3 linked regions of the Struthio camelus genome follow. The protein of the gene in region 1 interacts with the protein of each later gene in a pairwise test. Links are inferred from orthologs where the notes say so. Each region holds a gene or a part of one and is shown in the gene's direction. Other genes may lie near its edges. The genes, in order: RASSF5, STK4 and MYLIP.

What was found.
Region 2: the proteins of RASSF5 (region 1) and STK4 interact in binary tests that used the Homo sapiens proteins (3 or more experiments, as listed by UniProt). The link is inferred for Struthio camelus from reciprocal best matches to the Homo sapiens genes RASSF5 and STK4.
Region 3: the proteins of RASSF5 (region 1) and MYLIP interact in binary tests that used the Homo sapiens proteins (3 or more experiments, as listed by UniProt). The two-hybrid records come from large-scale screens. The link is inferred for Struthio camelus from reciprocal best matches to the Homo sapiens genes RASSF5 and MYLIP.

What each region holds. Positions count from the first base shown.
Region 1 is NC_090965.1:7,801,223-7,804,964, forward strand, and holds the start of RASSF5 (ras association domain-containing protein 5), read left to right. Parts: upstream 1-874; 5' UTR 875-1,557; coding exon of another isoform or gene 1,558-1,591; 5' UTR 1,592-1,910; coding exon 1,911-2,052; intron 2,053-2,228; coding exon 2,229-2,347; intron 2,348-3,742. UniProt on the Homo sapiens protein: Potential tumor suppressor. Seems to be involved in lymphocyte adhesion by linking RAP1A activation upon T-cell receptor or chemokine stimulation to integrin activation.
Region 2 is NC_090959.1:7,813,765-7,817,506, reverse strand, and holds the start of STK4 (serine/threonine-protein kinase 4), read left to right. Parts: upstream 1-1,499; 5' UTR 1,500-1,599; coding exon 1,600-1,631; intron 1,632-3,742. Other genes in the region: TOMM34 (mitochondrial import receptor subunit TOM34), read right to left, coding at 1,082-1,193, 1,274-1,394. UniProt on the Homo sapiens protein: Stress-activated, pro-apoptotic kinase which, following caspase-cleavage, enters the nucleus and induces chromatin condensation followed by internucleosomal DNA fragmentation.
Region 3 is NC_090943.1:99,291,113-99,294,854, forward strand, and holds the start of MYLIP (E3 ubiquitin-protein ligase MYLIP), read left to right. Parts: upstream 1-1,354; 5' UTR 1,355-1,561; coding exon 1,562-1,648; intron 1,649-2,790; coding exon 2,791-2,981; intron 2,982-3,742. UniProt on the Homo sapiens protein: E3 ubiquitin-protein ligase that mediates ubiquitination and subsequent proteasomal degradation of myosin regulatory light chain (MRLC), LDLR, VLDLR and LRP8. Activity depends on E2 enzymes of the UBE2D family.

The sequences.
Region 1 (3,742 bases):
GCTCGGGTTTGGCTCGCCCCGGGCCATGTGGCTGCTCCCTGGGCCCCCCCTGCGTCGTTCCCACCCCGGCCAACTTCAGCTATGGCTAGGGGGGAATTTCTTTCGGTCCCTGAAATTTGTTGCTGCGTCGGGATCTGACTCGATTTTTATTTTTTTAAAGCAATTGTATTTCCAAGTGTCACTTGGGCTTGAATGGAAACTATCTCAAAGCGCAAGTGGAGGCATCCTGCTGCAGCAGCTCTCGGCAAGCCCGTCACGTGGCCACATCCTAAAGCCGTGTTTAGTTTCTAAAATTAGTGTTCCCTGCCAGATACCGGGTGATTAGGTCTGCTAATAGGTGGCAGTGACTAAGGAGGTGTCATACTTTAATCCTGTAAAGAAATGCCTGGCCATAATGGGCCTGATCCGGGGACGCGCTGCAACTGTGTGCCGTAATTGCTGTGGTCTATATGAAGCTCCAGCGACGTTCCTGTCTGCCGGAGCCTGCTGCTTTTGCAACCCTGGGCTGGGAATTTCCTTTTTACCGGCATTTTTTTGGGCTGGGGCCGTGGCCCTGCGGCAGGGAGCCCAGCCGGATGCTGAGGGCGAACCCAAATCCCTAGGCCGGGACCCGGGGGACCATTTTCTATCCTCCCGTTTTCCGTGCCAGGGAGCATTTCAGCCGCTCGCCCCCAGCCAGGATGCTGCTGCCGCTCCGTCGTCCCGGGGCTGCAATTCTGCGCTGCCGCCGAGTGCTCAGGTGCGACTGAAGCATCCTCCGATTGGTGCCTCCAGCAAAGACTTGCCCGTCGTCCCCTATTACAGGGCTCTTCCACTTGCACGAAAGGTCATGCATTAAAATTACTGTGTAACTGTTCCGCTTATGTCTAATTAAAAAAAAAGCCCTCCCTGCTTTCCCCCCAGGCTTACGCCAGCAAACTGGCTTGGAATAAGGAAACGGTAGGCAGCTCGTGCTGGATGAATGTCAGATAAGTGATTTCCCTGTTTCCCCTGCAGGCTGGTGCCTCCCCGCTCCGGCACCGGCTCCCAGCCGTGGTTCAGCTCCTCTGGTTCCCGGGCGCTCAGCACTGCCGAGCGGGAATCACCGTTTCCAGAGCAAACTGGGGATGCTCCTCTGCTTCCCTGCAAACCCAAGACGTTTGCAAGCAATGACCCAGAAAAAAGGCCACTTTTAGTGATCGTGGGCCTTGGGTCAGGGTGCAGAGCTCACCAAACCGTGGAGGTGGGAAGAGCAGTGTGAGCAGTGCTGAAACCTTCCTGTGCTCCGGAGATCCAAAATCCCGTCTCTGACTGTGCCGTGAACTCCTTTGCCTGGGATTTAGGTTTTCTTTTTTTTTTCCCCTCCCCCAGTTCAGTGACTGCTCTGGAATTTTGGGTCGTGTAAAAGTAAATTGAACTCTGTTTATACGGCAGTTAAAAATTAAAAGGATCAGTAAGGTCATTAAAGCAGAAGGAGGTGGTTAGCTGCAGCCAAGAGGGTCTGGAAAAGTCGGGTCTTCGAGGGAAAGGGCTGGGGAGCAATAGGGCAATAAATAAGTGGAACAGCTGTTTCTGACAATGCTGGTCGTGCAGCCGCCGTCGTCGGAAAGCGGTACCGCACGCCTTAAAAGGTTAACCCGGGGCTTTGTGAAGTTTTCCGTGTAATTTCTACCTCGCGCTAGTTAATGTCTTACAGCAGAACGGGTCGGCGGCCAAAGAAATCAAATGCCCGATTCCACCCGGGCAGCGCGCGCGCGCTCGGAGGTGGTCGGGTGCCGCCTGCCGCCCCGGGACGGGTCCGTGGCTTCTCCGGGGGCGTTTCGGCAGGACCCCGTGGTGGAGCCGTCATTTCCCTAAGGCAGCCGGCCCTCAAAGTGTTTGCACTCGCTGACTGCTTTCCTCCGCTGCCCAAGCTAGCTCACTAAAATTGAATGTTTTGGTTATTTTGTATATTAATCTGCCAGCAGACCAGGGGAAAGGGCGGCGGGGTGCGAGGTGCAAACCGCGGCCCTGCAGCAACGCGTAAAGGTTTCCTCCGCGGCGGGTGCGGAAGCAATTTTTGTTCTGGGTCAGGTGCTCTGCAGCTCTTCCCTCTCTGCCAAAACGGGTCCGCGTGCTTCGCTCGCGGTCGCGGACGCATAACCCGACCGCGGCCCTCGGTCCGGGGCGAACGGGGCTGCTTCTCGCTTGGCCCCGCGCCGCCGCGTTGCTCGTGCCGGCGCCTCACTGCTGTGTTTCCTCCTGCCCAGACTGCAGCTACACCTGCCACCAGGAATGCCGGAGCCTCGTCCAGCTGGACTGCCGCCGGCCGGGACAGCCCCTGGGCCAGCTCTCGCCCGACAGCACCCTGATGCTGAGCTGCAGCCAGGTAGGGCCGGGGGTCGGGAGCGCGGCGCTTCCCGGGGCCGCCGCCGCCGGCAGAGCCGGGCGCGCGCGGGAGGTTGGAGCGTGACGACGTTTCGTCGCGGATCGGAGATGCGGGGCCTCTTGGGAACAGCCTGCTGATGGTAAGCGGCCTCTGTTTTGGAGACCTGGTGCCTCCCTCCCTCCCGAAGGGGTTAGCCCAGGTCCTCCCCGCCGCAGCAGGAGAGGCCGAGGCGGACGCCTCCTGCGTCTCGGCGGGATGCAAGCGTGGGCTTTGCTGGCTTCGTAGCCTTGAGGGGTTCAGCAGCCCGGGGGGATCTAGACGCTGCAGTCTGCATCGGGGATGTGCAGTAATCCCCGCGTCCGCTCCGGAAGTCTTCAGCTGTTTAATGGCGCAGAGGGTCCCGCGGGGTCTGTAGCAGCCACAGCGGCCTGAAGGCAGCGTCAAGGAGAAGGCTGCGGTGCGTGCCACAGGGCGCATCAGTACGATTACTTGGTGCCACAGAAGTCGAGATGCGAGTTACTTCTATGCCGGAAGGTTAAACCATCGCTTAAAAACCCGGCCGCGTGGGAGCCGATTTGCACGGGAGGGGAGAGGATCAGGCTTGTTGGCTTTTGCTTGCGTCCTCTGCTGCTGCCGGACCGATGACCCGCAGCGAGGTGCAGCCGTTTCAGCGGGTGCCTGAAATTAATACATAAAAAATATATATATATTAAATAAATAAAGGTCGCAAGCGGAGGAGCGGGGCCGGCAGCGGGCCGGGGCGCGGGCTGCGCTGGGGGAGCCCCGGGGCTTCGCCGCGGCCGGCGAGGGAGGTTTCCCGCCCCGCGCGGCAGAAAAGCCGGTGTTTTCCCGCGGGGCGTCACTGGGGGGAGCAGGGAGGCCGTGCCGGGCCGTGACCTGGTGCGTGGGAAATGGGGGAGGCGAGACGAGGGTCACCACGCTGCTTCCTCCTGGCCCCAAAATCGTCAGTAAGCGACTAGTCCCAGGGCAGATGGGAAGCCCGCGTCTGATCTGCGCGGAAAATTCATTTACCCAAAGTAAATGGAGTTTCAGATGTTGGCTTAACGCTGCTTTTTGGTAGAACGTTGCTAGATACCTGGCTGAGATTTTTTTCCAGCAGCTTTTGCCCCTTCGTACTGTTTAAAACCAAGGTGGACTCTGGTGAAGAGTTAAGACTTGGGCCAGAAGCCGGTCTGCGGCAGCCTGGAGTTGTCCCTGGGCAACGGAGAGAGACTTTCCCGAAGCGGATTTAAGGAGAGAACCGTGCTTCTGTGCTCCTCTTTGGGGTTCGTTGGGCTCCCCCAAACCTCTGCTTAGCAGATGCGTGTCTGCGCGGAGCGAGTCGTTTCCGCGCGCGGGAAGCGGTGGCTAAAGCAGCGATTATCCGCTGCGGCG
Region 2 (3,742 bases), on another chromosome or scaffold:
GACTATAAATTATGAGCAGCATAAGCTGTTCCAAGTTCTGCTGTCCTTCTCATAACCTATCTCAGGCCTGGTATTCTCTGAAGAGCAAGTCATACAGTTAATTATACAGTGCCATTTTCTAATGCGAGTTCCTTGTTATAGATCTGTTTTGGAAAGAGTCATTGGAAACAACAGGCAACCTGAGCCACCTGGTGCTACTCCCATGAAACTCCAAGCCAGGTCTGGCACTTGGCTGCACTCACCAAGTCACTCCAGATTTACAGCAGAGGTGCTGCAGACACAATCAGCCCCTGCTCACTTGTGCTACCAGGACGAAAACAGAGAGACCAATGAATACTAAAGCTACCTATGAGAAGAGGGTCCGTTGACGCCTCTCAATGGGGAACATATCTTTTCCTATCCTTTCTTGCTCAAGGGCTAGCAAGTCCCGAGGACTGCTCCGATCAACAGCAGAAAGCCAGGACACGGCCACATGGCCACTGCTACTTGCGGAGGGTGAGCGAGGGGAGGACAGATGGGGCAGCCCCGCCACCTGCTCCGCTCCCCCTAGCCCCTGGCCCTGGCCTTACTTGGGGTAGGGGTAAGGGAGGAGAACGCAGTCAGGCCCTGGGCAGCAGGGCCCCCCTAACCCCTCCAGCTTCCCTCTCTGCCCCATTGCAGCCCCCAAGGCCTCACCGCCCCCCAGGGCCTCCTCAACCCCCCCCCCAGCCTCCCCTCAGTACCCCCTGAAGGCCTCCCCGATCCCCCCTGCCTCACTGCCCTCCCCTCAGCACCCCCCAGGGCCTCTTCAACCCCCTCCTCAGCCTGCCCTCAGCACCCCCCCAGGGCCTCCCTGAACCCCCAGCCTGCCCTCAGCGCCCCCCCCCAGGGCCCCCCCGACCCACCCCCTCAGCCTGCCCTCAGCACCCCCCAGGGCCTCTTCAACCCCCCCCCCAGCCTGCCCTCAGCACCCCCACCAGGGCCTCCCCGCCCCCCCCAGCCTCCGCTCCTGCCCCCGTGAAGGCCTCCCGACCCCCCGCCTCACTGCCCTCCCCTCAGCGCCCCCACCAGGGCCTCCCCGACCCCCGCCGCCGCCGCCTACCGGGAGCAGTCGCTCACGCAGAGCCCGCAGGCGCCGTCCTTGAGGTGGCAGGCGGCGCGGTTGGCGAGCAGCACGCTCCTCTCCGCGGCGGCGGCGGCGGAGGCGGCCTCCCCTGCGGGCGGCACACAAGCGGGAGGGGGCTGCGGCGCGGCGGCCCCCTGCCCGCCATCCCCACCCCGGGACGCGCGGTACCTGCGGCCTCCAGCAGCGCCAGGGCCCGGCTGTAGAGGGCGGCGGCCGGCCCGTACTGCCCGCGGCGGAACTCCTCGTTGCCGGCGCGGCGCAGCTTGCTCACGCCGCCCGCCGCTTCCATGGCGCCGCCCGCCCCCGCCGCTCCGCGCAGGCGCCGCCCGCCTCGGGGGCGGGGCCTCCGCACAGCCCCGCCCCGCGCAGCCGGCGGGCCGGGGCGGGGCCGGGCGGGGCCGGAGCGCCGGGCGCGCCCCTCCGGCTTCCGGCGGAAGCGGCGCGGCCGGTCTGTCATGGAGCGCTGAGCGCCCGCGCCGCCGGCCCGCCGCGCTATGGAGACGGTGCAGCTGCGCAACCCGCGCCGGTGAGCGCGCCGCGGTGGCCGGGCGGGGTTCGCCCCGCCTCTGCGTGGCGCTGGGCGGGCGGCGGCCCTGTGGCGCCGTGGCGGGGGGGGAGCGGCGGGAGCCCGGCGGGCCCTTCCCGTGACGGGAGGCGGCCGGGCTGGCTGCCGCAGCTCCCCTTCCTCTCGCCTTTCCTCCCGCGGGGGTTGGCGCCCGTCGGCGGCCGCGGCGGAGCGTGGGGCCGTCAGGCGCGGCGAGCGGCGGAAGCTGCCGGCTCTGCCCTTCGCCGCCGCGGGCAGCCGCCGTTTCGCCGTCGAGCAGCGACGGGGCCGCGCGGGCCGGGTCGGACGCGCGGCCCCGTTGCGTTAGGCCTGGGCCAACGCTGGAGTGCTTCGCGGCGCTTCGGGCGCGCGTGGCTCGGTGCTGTCGCCGTGCCCGTGGCGTCACCCGACGCGGGTAACGGCGGAGAGCGCCCGATAACGCGGGGCGAGCCCCGAGCGGGCCCGCGCCAGGCAGGCTCGAGGCGCGTTGGTGCCGAGTGGCAGTAAGATGTTACGTCGGCTCTTCGGGCCCGGTGAGCGGGTTTGGACCTGTGAAAACTCTAGCCGGCGTTACACGATCGGCGTTTCGCCTTCTTACTTTTTCTTTTTTGGTGGCCCAGGCCTCGTTTTAACCTCGGCACAAAGCATCTGCCAACTGCAGCACCGTTTCTTGGTCTCTTTGGAAATGGCGGCTACTGTGGTTGCTTCTTTATTATTTATATATCTTTATTATATATGCTTTTTCCCTTTTCTCCTCTTCCCACCCCTTCCTCCCCCCCTGTTTTCTTAAGGACAAGTAGCATTTTGGTGGTTAATGCTTATCTGTGCAGAGAAGCTGGTGACTACTTTCAATATTTCGCCACTTCCTGAGTCTGCTTCTTTATAATGTTTCCTTCACTTCAGGAAGCCATTGTATGTACTCCGTGCGCGTACTGCTCCTCCTATATGGCTTTTGTGCATAAACATAATAGCCAGGGATCAGTGAGTGGTTTCTCAATTTACTTTTGAAGATATGGGGAAAAAATTGCATACTTAGTGTCAGAACTGCGATGCCTCTGTTTGAGGCCGTGATGTTTAACAGTAGCAGTAGAAACTTTCATTAGTTCTGTGTCGTGGCAGGCAACCATGAATTAACGTTGCTTGAATGTAAGACTAAGAACATCTGGGAAATGGTTCTTAGTTTGTCTTCTGCAAACTTGTGTGAGCTGGTTTGAGGTTTTCTTTTTTGGGCTTTTTTTCCTTTGGTCTTTCATATAAAAGTGCTATAGCACTTGTTTGTGGACTGTTGGATAGTTAGTAAAATGGTTTGTTTTGGGAACTTTTTGTCTCCCCCTGCCCCCTTCTCCCCCTCCCCCTTTTTTTTTTTATATGGTCCTTAGCTGTTGTATGAGGTTTCTTGATCAGCAGCTCAAAGTATGGTCAAGGTGAACTGAAAAGAAAGGAATGGGTTTGCTTGTTGCTTTGTATATGGAATTTTTCTGAAAGGTGTGTGGGATGTGTTAAGTGAAGGATCACAGGGCATGTTTGTACAACTGCATGTTTTTTTTCCTGGGAAGTATTTCAGCTGACTCTTCTTAGCAATAAATCTAAAAAGAGGGATGGAATGAGCAATGTAAAGATTCTAAAAGAGTCAGAACCCAGTTCCCCCCTCCTGCATATTCTTTTCCTCGTATATGCCCAGGCCCACAAAGCCAAGATCTGGATTTCTGATGTTAAGAGTGTACAAGTAAGATTAGTATTGTCTCTTTCCTCTCAACAAAAGTGTCCCTTACATACAAGGGAGGGATCTCCCTACAAGGTGTCAGAGAAGATCACGTGTCCCCTTTGCATGGCCTTGGTACATATACTGCTATACGAGATTTTGAGCTTTAGCGGGTATGTTCAATAACTAAGAAACATTGCAGTGCTACTGTAGATTTGACCACCAACATATAGGTCCTGAGATATATTCTGATATCTTAAAGAACTGACTCTTTGTTTCCGCCAAGATCTGTGTGCCTGATTAAACTTTGTTGTCTGTAATTTCCAGTCCTCTTTTTCTATTAGGTAATAATATTGTTTGGTCGTCTGATCAGGTGAAATAAACTTGCTTC
Region 3 (3,742 bases), on another chromosome or scaffold:
TTCAGAGAAGAGCTGCCTTCTAGTTACAGCGTTCATGTGAGCAAAACAGAGACACATCTATCTGCCCTTACCAGACCAGCCATATACTGCTTTTGCAAAGTACTGAGGAGAACGGCCCCCTGTTCTGAAAGGTTCTTTAATATAAATAAAAGATACTAATCACCCTGACAAGTGCAGCCGAAATACCCAAATAGAAGCAAATGATTCATAGATGTGGGGGCAAGCTAATGCTCAGTCCCGCGGTGACATCACACCGGTGCTGTGGGTGGTACTTTTTCCTGTTACCCTCCAAGATACTTTCAGGTCCTCGTTTTCCTCTCCTGCTTCTTCCTCTGGCAGCCTGCCTGCCCCTCCTCACTCTACATCGCTCCCTTCTCCTTCCACCGCACTTCTTTTGGGGAACCTACCTAGCGTAGGTGCGTTTGTATTTAATCCTCCATCAGACCAATTTATATTGTTAGAGCAGTGATGGGCTATTTTAGTTGATGCACCTTGTGCCTCAACTTGTTACTTGACAAAAGTATTTGTCAAACAAATACTTTTAAGGACTGCTAGGGTGCTGGTGCCCTTCCTCCAGCTGGAAGGCACCTACATGCCTCACACCTAGCGAGTTAAGTGGCTAAAAGCTCCATCATCCTCTAGCATGAAAGTACATGGAGGCTGCTATATGATGTGGCCGGTTCCTAAAATTGACACATTTCCAGAGCTTTGCACACTGCACAGCAAAAGGCCAAAGAGGAGCAAGACCATTAACCAAGCGTTATTTTTGCCTCCAAAAAAAAAAAAAAAAAAAAGAGCTTTTGCGACCTCGAGAAATGAGGCATTCAAACATTTCACCTTCCCGCAGCTCACGATGACCTGCCCCGAGAGATGACCTTGCCCGCGGGTTTGGTCCCCACCTTCCCCCGGCAGAACGGGGCTTGGGAGTGATTTATCCCGAGGCAACACCCGAGTAACAAGTTCCGGGTTGCGCAGAGGATGGGGGACGCAGGTAACCGGCGGTGGGGGGGGGTGGGGGAGAAGGAAGGGGTGGGAGAAGGCAGGCTGGTGGCGCAGAGCGGCCGCCACACGGCCAGCGTCGCCGCGACCCCCGCGCGGGGACCGCCGCTGAGCGCGGAGCCGCAGCGCCGAGTGGCGCGGCCGGCCGGCAGGGGGCGCCGGGGAGCAACGGCCGCACCCCCACCCTCTCCCCTCGGCTGCGGCCCTTTTACAAGTGACCGCGGTTCTGATTGGTGGGAGCGATGGCCCGCAGAGATGAGCGACGCCTTCGGATTGGCCCACAGGTGCCGCTCGGCGGGGGGGAGGGGCAGACGGAACCTATATAGGCCGGGAGCGCGGCCGCCGGAGCTCAGGCACTAGGGGAGTGGGGAGAGGGTGGGGAGGTGCGGCGTTGGGCTGCGCTGCGCTGCGCTGGCGGCGGGCGGTGGGCGGGCGGTGTGGGCGGCCGGGGGACGCGTGCGTACCTCAGCCCTGTAGCGGCAGCTGCGCTTGCCAGCCGGTGGCAGTTGGCCGCAGTCGCTCCGGGTGTCCGTGGGAGCGGCGGCGCTGGCTGGCCCCAGCCATGCTGTGCTATGTGACCAGGCCGGACGCGGTGGTGATGGAGGTGGAGGTAGAGGCGAAAGCCAACGGCGAGGACTGCCTCAACCAGGTGAGGGGCCGCGCCGCCCTGCCCTGCGCTCTTCGCTCCCCGCCGTTGCCGCCGTCTTTCTCCCTCGCTGCCTGCCAGGGGCGCGAGCTGGGGGGGGGGGGGGGAGGAGTGAGCGAGTGGCCGTTGGGCGCCGCAGACCGTTGGTGCCTGACAGAACCGCACGAGGCCCGGGGGGGGGGAGGCGCGCATCGTCCCCCGCGAGCCGGGGAGGGTTTTGGGGAGGGGGGGGGAGCACGCGAGCTTGTCAGCTCGCAGGCGTTAAGGGCGGTGATGGCGTGAGGGAGGCAATGTAACCCTGCGCAGGGGCGTCCGTCGGGATGGGGGTGGGGAGGCAGCCGGAGCTGCCGCTGCAGTCTCCCTGTTTCCCCTCCCCCCTTTTCATGTTGGATGCAGAGGTGGCTGTATCCCCCGCCTCGGGGCTTCCCGGGCCGGTGATTGCCCTTCTGCCTCCTCCTTCGCAGGGCGTGTGGAAAAGGGGGAGGAGGGAAGGCCTCGGCCTCATTGCTGCAGTGTGGAAGCCCGTTCTACCTGTCCTGGGGGAGAGGGGACGAGTGGGACCCACCTGGTCGGGATGACATCGCCCGGGCGGTGTTGAGCCCCCTGCTAAATATCAGTCCGTGTAGCCTAGTTGGAGCCCTGGTAGCTGGGGCTGTCGCCCAGGTGTCTCTGCTGCTTGGTCGCCTTCTTCCCGACGTGGCAGTGGCTGCTGCTGTGGGACGCAAGAGACAGCCAAACATAGCTGCCCAGTCTGTTGGTGGCATCTAAATAAAACTTGTGGGATATATGTTTTTCGCCTTCTTCCCTAGAAAGTGCTATTTGCTGTGCTGTTGAATTAGATAGTCTTCTCTTCTGGAAATCTACTGATCCTCTTAAGTGGGTGGGGGGAGGGAGGGAAGACCCCGACCACACCTGGAAATTCATGTGGTTTTCAACCAGTAGAGAAATTCTCAGTTCAGTATTTTTACATCCTGTTTCGAACATAGCTTATTTTAAATCAGAGTCATTACATAATCTTTTGTATGAAGGTGCTTACAGCAGGAATTATCTGTTTAAGTATGTGAGCAGTCTGAAACAGTATTGGATTCAGATATTTTTGGTCTAGTCATGTTATAGATTCATTATATAGAACATCTTTCTTTCAGGTTTGCCGAAGATTGGGAATTATAGAAGTTGATTATTTTGGACTGCAATTCACTGGCAGCAAAGGGGAAAGTCTGTGGCTCAATTTGAGGAATAGGATCTCCCAGCAGATGGATGGTTTAGCCCCTTACAGATTGAAATTACGGGTCAAGTTCTTTGTAGAGCCACATCTTATCTTACAAGAACAGACAAGGTAAGCTAAAGGTGATTATAAGAAAAGCTAATTTATCCTTTTGTTTTTCTTTTTCTGTAACTTACAAAAGCAATTGCACATTAGTTCTATTTCTTGTGTCTTCTGATAATCTTAAGTTGACTTTTCTGAGTAGTTGTTTTAAGACCCGAGTGTTGAAGAGAAGTACTGCTTTTTTTGAAAAATGAATAAAATCTGTAGTATTGTAAGTATTGTGTAGCTAACAGCGGGTGGTGAGAGTGGAGTTCCATGAAAACTTAGTGCTGCAAGTGGGAGAAACTAAGCTACCAGTAACAAGTTACTTATATGGTATTTGCATGTCCGATAGTAACCCCTGTGCAGTGGTGTTACTGTGGGTCGTTTTAAACCGTTGGTACAGAAAGGCAGGAAACAATTCCTCCCACACTGCGTAAACTTGCTGAATTCCTTTTTGTCCTTTTAGTATCATATTACAGTAACTTTCAAACAGCTATAGGCTGTTTGAGGCTACAACAGAAACAGCTGTTTTGCTTCTTCTGTGGCCAGTCCTCCTACCTAAATTGTTAACACTGTTATCCAATTTTAACAATTAGCCTTCTAAGATTAATAGCAAGCATTTGTTTTTACTGTGTGAGTTTGATTGCTACATGGATCACAATTAGTTTCTCTTTAAAGAATGCTGAATGCTTATATGTTAAATAAAGACCTTTCAACTCATTTCTCACCAGCTAATTTTAGGTAATACAGTTAATATAAGTGGGATAAACTGTATCTAGTGGATAGAG